Oryzias latipes: one gene and its partner. The protein of the gene in region 1 interacts with the protein of each later gene in a biochemical or structural test. Links are inferred from orthologs where the notes say so. Each region holds a gene or a part of one and is shown on either strand. Other genes may lie near its edges.

Region 1 (5,113 bases):
TTTGACCAATCAGATGGACGCCTTCCCATTGTTGACCAATCAGATGGAGGCCTATTATGTTAACCCTGGTCCTGAAGAGCCTCAACCCTGCCTGTTTTCCAGCTCTCCTTAACCAGCTTGCTGTTGATTGGCTGACTCAAGTGATTTCACATCCTGATTGACTGAACACACCTGATTTTGGTTATCATTATCGAGCAGTCTAGGGAGAATTGGAAAACAGACAGGGTTGAGGCTCTTGAGGACCAGGGTTAGCCACCCTGACGTTTGACCCCATGTCGATGAGGGTCATTTGGAGTATAATTTTTAAACTGTTGCAATGAAATGGGAATGATGTTTTTGTTTATTTTACTATTTGTTTATTTACCGCAAATTTATCGTTATCGCAATATTGATCACTAATATCGCATATCGCAAGTTTTCCTCATATCGTGCAGCCCTAGCACAAACCGATAAGGAAAAAAACTCTTTAAAATTAGTGCAATAGTGCATTAGTGCAACTCAAATATTTAACATTTTAAACAATCAAAGTCAACCTCTTATGACTGAATTCAACCCTTTAACACCAGAAATGTCACCAGTAACACCTAAATAAGGTACTCTCTGATGTACCGTAAGTCTTTGACTCTTGGAAAAAAGCAGCTTTTCCTATTGGGTTAGCACCCATATGCAACACATCACCAAAGTAAAGTAGCAGAATCAGAGGGAATTACTACGTTAGAGGCGTAAAAGGTTACAATAGCCGAAAGAGTGTCAACACTGGAACTAAAGTTCTGGTGTTAAATCAAACGAGATCAAGTCAAAGTCCTAAAAAATCCAATTCAAAACCTTTTTATACTTTTCAAATCCGACAGATAGTCTGAGTTTGGTGAAACGTGTTTCTCTAATCTGGACAATTGTGTCAATTTGTCTTTAGTTCATCTCACCCTGAAGTGAGGCGGCGTTGTTGTTGGGTGGAGCCCCGCCGCCGCTGCTGCTGTCCTCCAATTCATCCAGATAGAGGCGGTATCGATGTCCGCTGTCGTCCTCATACTCCACGTTCTCGTCATCGCTGTCCACCTCCGGCGCCACGTACACCACCTCAAACTCTATCTGGCCTCTCTAAAACACAATCGCCACAATGAGTAGGTCAGAGAGCGCTCCCTGTGGCCACAGCGGGGACTGCAGCCACACCTTACCTGCTGTGACAAGATGGTGACTGCCTCCTTGTGCTTCGCATCCCTTAAATTGATGCTGTTGACCGCGAGGATGGCATCTCCGACGTGCAGGCCTCTACAACGGTCTGCAGGTTGACCGGGATGGATCTCAGAAATCAGGATGGGAACGCCGTGCTCCTTCCCGCCCTAAAAGGAAATCCAAGTTAAAGGATCTAAAGCCAAAACAGGATCTAAGAAGTTTAACACATTTGTTCCATTACTATTGCAGAGGGTTACTTAAGACCAAAGTGACAAATTCACTTCCTGAAAAGTCTAAGAAAGAATCTAAAACATGGCTGGTAATTGGTGCTTCCTTAAGGTTACATTTCCCAGATACAAAGTGCCTGGTTCAAACCAATGCCTTCTATGGGTCTACTATGTGTCAGATAGTTGCTTTATTTTTCACAAAAGAGGTCAATCGTGTATTTACCGTGATAGAAATCCCCAAGCCTTCATGGTCCTCTTTGACCAGCGCCACCTTCCTGATAGGACCGACTCCCTGCGTTTTCTTCAGCAAGTCATGTTCCTGGAATTGCACCGATAGCTTTTAGCGAAACCATGAAAACATGAACGGCATTTAGATGTTTGAGATCTCCACTCACGTGTCCCACAGGAGAGGGTAGAGGTTTCTTTGGGTCGATGCGACCTCGGCATGCCCGGATTACAGTTTTGTGGCGGTGGAGGTGAATCTCGGCCTCCAGCTGGTTCCACAGCTTGTCATGGGCGGGTCCCTTCATGTCCCGACCGAGTAACTGAATCTGCTGCACCCTGAAAGTCACAGTGCCAGCCTCTTAGGGAAGACAACCCTTAGACAACCTAAGTCTCGTTTACTCAATGAAAAAGATTCATCACCAGGTCTTATCTTTAAACCCGCTGCTCCCTCCAGCTTCTCACCTTCCAGCCAGCTCCTTGTCCAGATATTTGGCAGCCAATCTGGCTCCGTACACCTCAGCTTGCAGTACTGCTATGTGCCTGCGGAGGGCCTCGTTTTCCTTCCTAAACAGATGCACTTCTTTCTCCAGTCTGGCCTCAGCTAACTTCTCCTTCTTACCAGCCATAAGTTCCTGTTCCTGGAAAAAAAAGCACAACTAATCACGTTTGAGCTTTTGCAAACTGGCGACACAACAAACTATAGGTTTTAGGACGATTATGCTCCAAATGATCAAAATGTTATATATCATGACATAGCTAGGTTTATATCCTGATTAAGATATCAGTAACATTGCAACGTGGAAAGGCAGTGTGACACGACTAACTGAACAATGGTCATAGAAACTAAATACTTCTTTCACTTAGAACCTTTTTCCAAGTGTTAATCATGTTAACATCTACTGCTAAACATATTTACTATTTAGCATAGGCCAATTCCTAGCTGTGCCTGAATGCAGCGTCTGGACTTTTGTGTGACTTCTGCAGTCACTAGACGCTGCTTTTATAGCTTTTGCTTGTTGATTCTCTCTGCATTCTTGGTTATGGTTCCTGTAGAGACGACAAACTCCATTAGTTGTGTGTTTGTTGTTAGGACCGGTCAACAGGTGTTTTGCCAAAAGAGAAAACCCCCCTGCACCCCGTCTGACAGCGTTCCTCACCAGGAAGTGCTTTCTTTTTGACACAACACCTTACAAACTTTACAAACAAATGCTGTCTGATCCACGTCGGTCTTCTTCTATACAAACTACATTCATGCGACGGAACAATTTTCTAGTCTGGAGCGCATTTGCTACTGACTTCCTCCATGTTTGTTTGGTGTGAGGCACATTTTGACGGAAAATAGTACCATAAAGTTCCTAATTCTGTTTTGAGCCGTAGAGCTTCATAAAAAAACAATAGATATTTTCTCTCATCTAGATATACAAGTTTCTTTAGGATTTAGACCAAATCATTGCACAAAACGAAATTTTTCATTAGGATTGTTTGCAGTTATTAGATTTGGCGTAACCATAAAGTGCCATCTCAGAAAACATTCTCATGGAAAAAGTCAACGTTGACACTGACTGATGAGCTCATATTTCCATTTCCAAGATGGTGACTGGCCAAGTAATGACTGTAGCCAGTGAGGGGAGGGGAGGGAGTGGCGTTTCCACCCAACAAGCCACTGAAGCAGAGTCGACAAAGCAGCAGGAAGTAAATATCAGCTCAATGAGGGAAGCAACAGATCCCATGGTGTCAAATCTACAGCTACACCAAAGCGGAGAGGAGAACTTACCATCACCTCCAGAGTTGGTGCAGGCTTTAAGGACAGAAGAGGAGAAAGGACAGACAGAAGAAAATGTGGGTTAGAGAAACTCATCTTTGATTGGTGTTAATGTGTGCACAGGAAAGGCAAAAATGACAAAGAATCAAAGTGCATATCAGGGCTTCAGGATGGTGCTGAAAGGGAGCAGAAAACTGTAGATGGAAACAGTAAAAGACCAAACCATCAGTTGCAACAGTAAACAAAGGAGTTAAAATAAACATTCTATTTGTTTAAATCCCATATATTCTAAATGAAAGAAATGGAAAAATGTATTCTTTAGCAGTGAGGAGAAATCTTTGGTATGGCTGCTGGAGGTCATTTCATGCGGTTTGGATGTATTTCTACCTTTTCTTATCTTCTTTAGTTTCGCTGAGTCTCTTCAGCGTCATCAGAGATCTGCAGATAAAAGTGAATTTTCCACCACTGTGGCCTGCTGAGCTTACAGTGAGTGGAGGATTCTCCCGCCCCATTGAAGCCTCTGAAACCCAGATCTGTGTCTGTCACTGTTTGTCCCAGTGGAGCATTCTTCTGGAGACATTTATGATGTAAGAAGCTCCATAAAAACTCCTCTTTCTGAGATTCATTGAGGACATTAGTGCAGAGCAGTGGAGCTAAAAGCACAATGCTGTTTTAGTTTTGTAGTCGCATTCTGACTAATTTATATTTCTTTATCCTGTCTAACCAGAGATGTCTTTAATAAAGATGTCTGAAAACACCAGGTGGACGGCTGAAGGCTAACGTTGATAAGGTTACCCATGACTGCTAGCTCCAAACGGCCGATAACTGTTAGATCTATTCTGTTCGGATCATACAGAACTTTACCATTAGAATTGAACCTAATGGATTTCATTTGATGTTACTTGATGGATCAATCGATGACCGTCTGACCATCCAACCTACCAGTCTGTCCTTGATGGTGTCTGAGTCCTCTGTCTGGCCTTGCTGGGCCCGAAGCTGCAGCTGGAGAGCGTGCAACTGCAGCAGCAGTTCATGGACCTCCCTCTCCGCCACCACCCGCTCAGCCTTCGCCTCCGTCAGCTCGGAGCGCAGGTCGACCAGCTGAGCCTGGAGACAAGCGAAGAGTGTTTTTCAACATAAATGCAGACAAGTCAGACCAGGACCGACCTTTAGATAATCCTGTAACAGATCCTTGATTTAGGGACTGTACTCCACCTGGCAGGTTGAATGACGAGAGGAACTGTATGTCGTAGCAAGACTCAAACGGACAGCACCACAGTTGCTTAAGGGGTTCCGGACCAGCTCAGACAAGTAACCGTAGACAAAGCTCCTGCATCGACGATGCAGATCAGAAATTCTGAAGAAAAATCCTTCTGAATATATAGGAATGTTTTTTGCTTCGTTCATAATTATTGATACATGTGTAAAACAAAAACGTTTTGGTAAATTACAAAGCAAAATTTGTTGTTTTTTCTTTTAGCTTTTTATGCGATTTGAGCATCTAGAGGAATTCTGTTTCATGCAGCAGAGCATCAAAAATTTTGAGTTTCCAGAGTTTAAATATCAACACTTTGCATTGCAAATTAGGAATTGATTTCCATGTTTTTATGCGGTCAGAGACATTGGCATTTATTACACCACAGTCTATTACAAACGTTTCCTTTCGTAGACAGACAGTTGTAGTTGTGTAGAGCAGTGGTCCCCAACCATTTCAACGCCACGGACC
Region 2 (6,116 bases), on another chromosome or scaffold:
CAGCGCATGGAGTGAATGTACACTCCATTTACGGTTTCTAAAGAAAACGTAAAAGCGGAATTTTGCTTTGAAAAGCTCACAGCCTCCGTGTGAGCTGGAGACATCTTCTCCTGCTGATTGAGCTGCGGGGCCGATGGCAGTCTGAAGGCTCCCACACGTAACAACGCACCCGCCCCTCATACACAAAACGTACAGTATTAAGTCCGATTGCTTTGCACAGAAACGATTTGCTCCATCCACCGGCGCAACGGGGACGAAGTGCTCCTCCTTGAAGCCGCCCTGGCCAGAGGTGTCGGAGTAGATAGGAAGGGGAGACAAGGAGCGCGCGGGGCGGGAGCGGAGCGCAGAGGCGTCCGCGGAGTGCAGAGGCTTTGAATTCTGACGCACGCGCCGCACTGAGGCGCGCGTATCGTGCTGAGGCGCGCGCTTTTCAGTCGTCGCTGCTTTATTTTACCGGTGTGTTTTTTAAACAGTCCTGTTACTCCCATAACGCTGCCGCGACACAAGCGGAAGGAGAGCTTTTCCCGTTCACCCCTCCATGCACTGCTGATACTTGCTCATTCTTAAACACATACAATAGTATGGCGAGCCGGGCGTTGGCCCCGCCTTTAGCCCCTAAGACTCATGGGAAATGTGGAATCGCGGATGTAAATTTCCTCATTATAACTGAGGGATGTAATGTTGATTATATGGTTACTGTTTGTAATTTTATGTATGATACCTAGATTGTCAATAAGTAAAAAGAAAAGAAAAAAGAATGAAATAAAAACACCATAACTGAGGAACTTGTGAACAGAATACAGGTCCATGCTGTTTGACAGATATCGATACACTCAAATACATGAGCCAGAGGCAAAGCTGGCTACACCCACAACGTGCTAATGAACTGCACTCACTCTGGGAAGCTGACCGTGATCTGTCAGGATGACAATATCGCCTAACACATGCGCGGCTTGTACTCTGACGCGGCTTGTGTATGTATAAAAGTAGTTTAACACGTAAAAATGGGTGGGTGCGGCTTGTAATCGGGTGCGCTTTGTAGTCCGGAATTTACGGTAATCCATGGACACCAGTGAAGATCACAAATCATTGAAGAAAAAAGGTTCAGCGCACTGTCTAGTGGGGTCCAGATGACCCAACTCCCAATGTTAAAGTGCCTAGAATAGCACAAGGGTTAAGTGACGGGGAGTTTGTAAAAGGAATGTGCTTGAAAGTAGCTTACATTGTTTGTCCAGAACAAAAGAAAAAGTTTGAATAAATAAGTCTGTCAAATGATACAATTACTAAACGAGCAAAGATCTGCGCAGCAACCTCCGAGAGCAACTGGGAAAACATCTGGAGGACCTGGTTAACTGTACAAATGACACTTGGTCATTGAAGTTATTAAAAACCACTTTTTCTGTTTATCCATTATTTTTCCCCAAAATTGGCCCCTGGTCTAATGTCGAGTTCTTAATTTGGCCCTCCGCAACAAAAACTTTGAGAACCCCTGTTTTAAACGATTTGTTTTGGGTAAAATCTGGTTTGGGAAGCACAAATATGAAAAAAGCAGGAGGGGGGGGGTCTAACCCTCTCAGAACTTCTGCTAAGGACACATCCAGAAAGAGTGACAGCTGACTTGCAAAACACACAGGTGCAGTTAGAAACAAACACAAAATACAAAAACTGCGTCATATAAAGGTATTCTAGAGTCCTCCTCAAAGCAAGCAAAACCCCATGCAGAGCAGGGAGTGCAAACACCTCCCTGAATCAGGCAGAAGTTCCAGCTTCTTCACACATTTGCTCTTCTAAAAACCAGAAGAAAGGCTGAAGAAAGCTACAATCTGCTGATCAACATGATCTCTGCCATCGCTATATTTTAAGACTCGTTTTATTTTTGCCAAATCTCAAAGGCAAAAACAAGATTGAGACAGTCAGTCACGCTCTGCAGTGTCTGAAACACGGGAGAGCAGCAATATGTTGAAAATGTGCCATAAATGCAGACGTAAACCACACTAAAGTAGTGACTTCCAGGTAACATAGGTGTGAAATAAAGAAACGATAAAACAGAGCATTAATAGATAAGGTTTTCCGTTTTTGACAGTTCTCTGATCTAACATCTGTAATCCTTAAATCTCAGTGAAGTGACTGAATAAACTTGTGCTCGCGAAAGTTGCACGCGGGTACAGACGCTCCCGACAAACCTGTTGGATTTTTCATATTTTTGTTTGATATTTATAACGATATGAATAAATAATATTACTGAAGATGGATGTGGTAATGAGTGCACATATGTGTTTGCGTATGCGCGCGCTCGTGTATGTGTGTCTTGGGGAGGGCTGCTCCTCGCGGTCCCTCCGCGTGCGTGCCGCTGCACCTCTCTTCACTCACGTGAATGACACAAAAGCTGCGCGAGCCTAAAGTTTGATGCAGATCTTTGCAGATCATCCATCGCAGCTTTTAAGATTATCGTGATGCCGTCAACAGTTAACGTTTCTTTGCACATTTGGACCAGAACAGATGAGGACCTCCGCGCGCTCCTATGCCTCCCTGCAGCAGTTTAAGTTAAGCTGCAGAACCGCTCGTGAGCAGAGAGGACACCGGAGGTGAAGTCTGTATCTTTGGACGCGCTGGCACAGGTTGACGCACGAACGTCCACGCGATTTACGGAGCAGCTCGGCAGATCTTCCTGTTGTGATACCTGGAGCGTGACCACATGCGTGGATTCATCTACTTAACCGGAGCTGGACCCTAAAGCGTCTGAGAGTCAGACAAACCTGTTGACTTCACATAGAATTAAATTTTTGTCTCTAGGCTTAATTGCGTTTCAAGCCTGGTGGAAGTTTTGTTCAGGGACATTGTGACCTATCATCTTGGGATTTGAGCCCCTGACCAGCTGATTGGGATGCAGCTGAACCTAAAAAGCTGGACTTAAATCTGCATTGGACTTCATGATGGAACCTCAGAACTGGTATACCTTCCCAGAGCTGAATTCCTCTGAAACCACTGCCACTCCCTTTCTCTACTCCAGCCATCTCCCCCCAAGCCTCTCCTCCAATTTGTCCACTCAGACCATCCCCTTTCAGGGCAGTAGCACCGTGGTGACAGCCATCATCTCCCTCACAGTCTTTATGTTTGGAATGACTGGAAACACACTGGCCATCTACGTGGTGCTCCGCTATGCCAAGATGAAGACCGTCACCAACATCTACATCCTCAACCTGGCAGTTGCAGATGAGCTGTATATCATTGGGCTCCCCTTCCTCACCACACAGAACGTGCTCTCCTATTGGCCGTTTGGTTCCTTCTTGTGCCGTATTGTCATGACCGCAGACTCTATGAACCAGTTCACATCCATCTTCTGTCTCACAGTCATGTCCATGGACCGTTACCTGGCAGTGGTCCATCCAATCCGCAGCACCAAGTGGAGACACCCCCGCGTGGCCAAATTGGTGAGCGCAGCGATGTGGGCTGTGTCCTTTGTGGTGGTCCTACCAGTGGTCATCTTCTCTGATGTACAGGTACAGTACACCTGTAACCCCCCCTCCCCATTGTTTTCCCAGTTATAGATGTGAACAAGCTAAGACAGTTTTTGAAGAACAATTCCTACACAAAATTATGCAAGGTGTCTCACAAAAATAGACAAGAATTAAAACAATAAAAGCAAACATTTACATCACAAATAGAACAGAAAAATTAATGCGAGGCAAAAAAGTATTTGATAGTAATCGGTTCAGCAAGGTTAGCACTCTTGCCTCACAGCAAGAGAGGTTCAAGTCCCAGCTGGGGGACCTGAAACAGAACACCAGTGGGGGACCTTTCTGTGTGGAGTTTGCATGTTCTCCCCATGCATGCGTGGGTTTTCTCCAGGAACTCCGGCTTTCTCCCACCATCCAAAAACATGCTTCATAGGTTAACTGGTTAGTCAAAATGATGGCCCTGTGACAGACTGGCAACCTGTCCAGGATGTCCCCTGCCTTTACCCACGAGTGGCCAGGATAGGCTCCGGCAGCCCCGTGACCCTGAAAGGGCCAAAACGGGTTTAAGAAGAGGAATGAATGAATGGATGGATGGATGGATGGATGGATGGATGGATGGATGGATGGATGGATGGATGGATGGATGAATGAATGAATGAATGAATGAATGAATGAATGAATGGATGGATGGATGGATGGATGGATGGATGGATGGATGGATGGATGGATGGATGAATGAATGAATGAATGAATGAATGAATGAATGAATGAATGAATGAATGAATAAGCTAACGAACAATTCTGCTAGTTGTCTCACATAAAATGATGGGGATAAACCAGTACAAAAATATAAATATATATATATATATATATATATATATTATCCAAGTGAAGACATTTCACTCAAGCAAAAAGGAATAGTTTATTAAAGAAAGTTAATAAAATGTTAGAGTCAAACCAAGGTGGAAAGAAACAAAACACAAACTAACTCAAATATCAAACATGAGAAGTCAAACCTGAACCTAACCAAACAGGAGAAATAAATACGAGAAAATTGTGATTTTTACCCGCAAAAATTAGAAACCAAGTAAACATTTGCATAAATGTAGTCATGTTTATCAGCAAGCCTTTGCATGAAATGTTTTTGGTCTTCTCTTCCTCTGTTATTTGCTGTCTGCACATGATGTAAACAAGCACACGCGAGACACACTGCTCCCCCGCGGTCACTTCACCTGTGTCGTGTTAAGTTTTGGCTGATGAAACACAGGGACATGTAGCGATTTTTAACAACACCCAGTAAGAACGAAGGATAAACCTGTTACACCTGCAGCAGAGCTGTTCCGTCTGTCACCTAAATGTAAACAGGACTGACCTTTAAGACGTGGCGGATAAATACAACAAGATTAATTCATTGTTATTTTAAATATATATATATATATATATATATATATATATATATATATATATATATATATATATATATATATATATATATATATATGTTTGAAAATGGGTTTACAGTTAGATGATAATAATAAATAATAATGGATTGGATTTATCTGCACTTTTCCATCATGGCCATTATTCATTAACTCCTCATTAATTCCTGGTGATGGTAACCACTGTCGTAACCACAGCTGCCCTGGGGCCGACTGACAGAGGCGTGGCTGCCAGTTTGCGCCTACGGCCCCTCTGACCATCACCGGGACATTCATACACATTCACACACCAGTGGAGCTGCACTGGAGGCGGGCAGGGTGAAGTGTCTTACCCAAGGACACGACAGCCTGTGGCTGACAATAACAACGTGTTCATACCAATTTAAAATTTTTATGCAATGTCATTTTCTTTTAAAAAATTGAAAAAACACTTTAAAAGTTAAACGCCTAAGGTATTTCTGTGTAAAATAGTCTTATTATTTGGCCGAAGGGGGTATTTCAGTCATTTTAAATCCCACAAAAAACAGAACAACCACCAACCTTTTTTATTAGCTGAAGCAGAGTCACCAAGCATATTTCAATCTCTGAAATAAACGATAATTCTCCAGCCAAAGTAACAAAGGTAAGACCTGCACAGCAGGTTTGTTCTGTAAAACGGGAAAACATTAGAGTTTATTTGTAGAATTAATGCTTTGTTTTTAAATGAAACTGATAAAGCAGGTTGATGTTCTGTTTTATTTATGTTCTCTTTTGAAACTTTGACTTTAATTTTCTCTTTATAATAACCATTTCATCCTGTTCCTTCAGTGTATCTGTTATGTTTAAAGTATGATTAAAAAGAAAATCTAAACAACCTGCTGATGATTACAGATTTCTTTTATGAACAACAGAGTCTTCAAGTTTGACAAATAGTAAAGTAAAAGAAGTAAAGAAATCCTTCAGTTTATGTAATTTTTGCTCTAAAATTACAGGGTGGTGTTAGATTTTAAGTGATTCAAGTAATGGATGTAAAAATTAAGAAGATATTTTGATCAATTATGTTATGTCTGCTAGGAAGGCGGAGAAGTTTCATTTTGGAACGCGTATGCAAAATGTTCATCTAAGTGTAGAAGTTTTGTGGCATCTCCACTAAAGATAAAAAAGGCAGTTTGCATAACATATCTATTGAAAACACTGTCATGAGTTAAGATTAAAAGCTTGGGAGTGTTTTCAAGTTGTT

The links. The genes of interacting proteins can lie anywhere in the genome.
Region 2: the proteins of gopc (region 1) and somatostatin-like receptor F_48D10.1 form a complex in vitro, tested with the Homo sapiens proteins (2 studies listed by BioGRID and IntAct, with this or other methods). The link is inferred for Oryzias latipes from reciprocal best matches to the Homo sapiens genes GOPC and SSTR5.

What each region holds. Positions count from the first base shown.
Region 1 is NC_019882.2:11,942,983-11,948,095, reverse strand, and holds part of gopc (Golgi-associated PDZ and coiled-coil motif-containing protein), read right to left. Parts: intron 4,495-5,113; coding exon 4,330-4,494; intron 3,424-4,329; coding exon 3,400-3,423; intron 2,264-3,399; coding exon 2,088-2,263; intron 1,962-2,087; coding exon 1,796-1,961; intron 1,720-1,795; coding exon 1,624-1,719; intron 1,341-1,623; coding exon 1,176-1,340; intron 1,099-1,175; coding exon 924-1,098; intron 1-923.
Region 2 is NC_019859.2:28,479,780-28,485,895, reverse strand, and holds the start of somatostatin-like receptor F_48D10.1, read left to right. Parts: upstream 1-2,357; 5' UTR 2,358-2,930; coding exon 2,931-3,500; intron 3,501-6,116.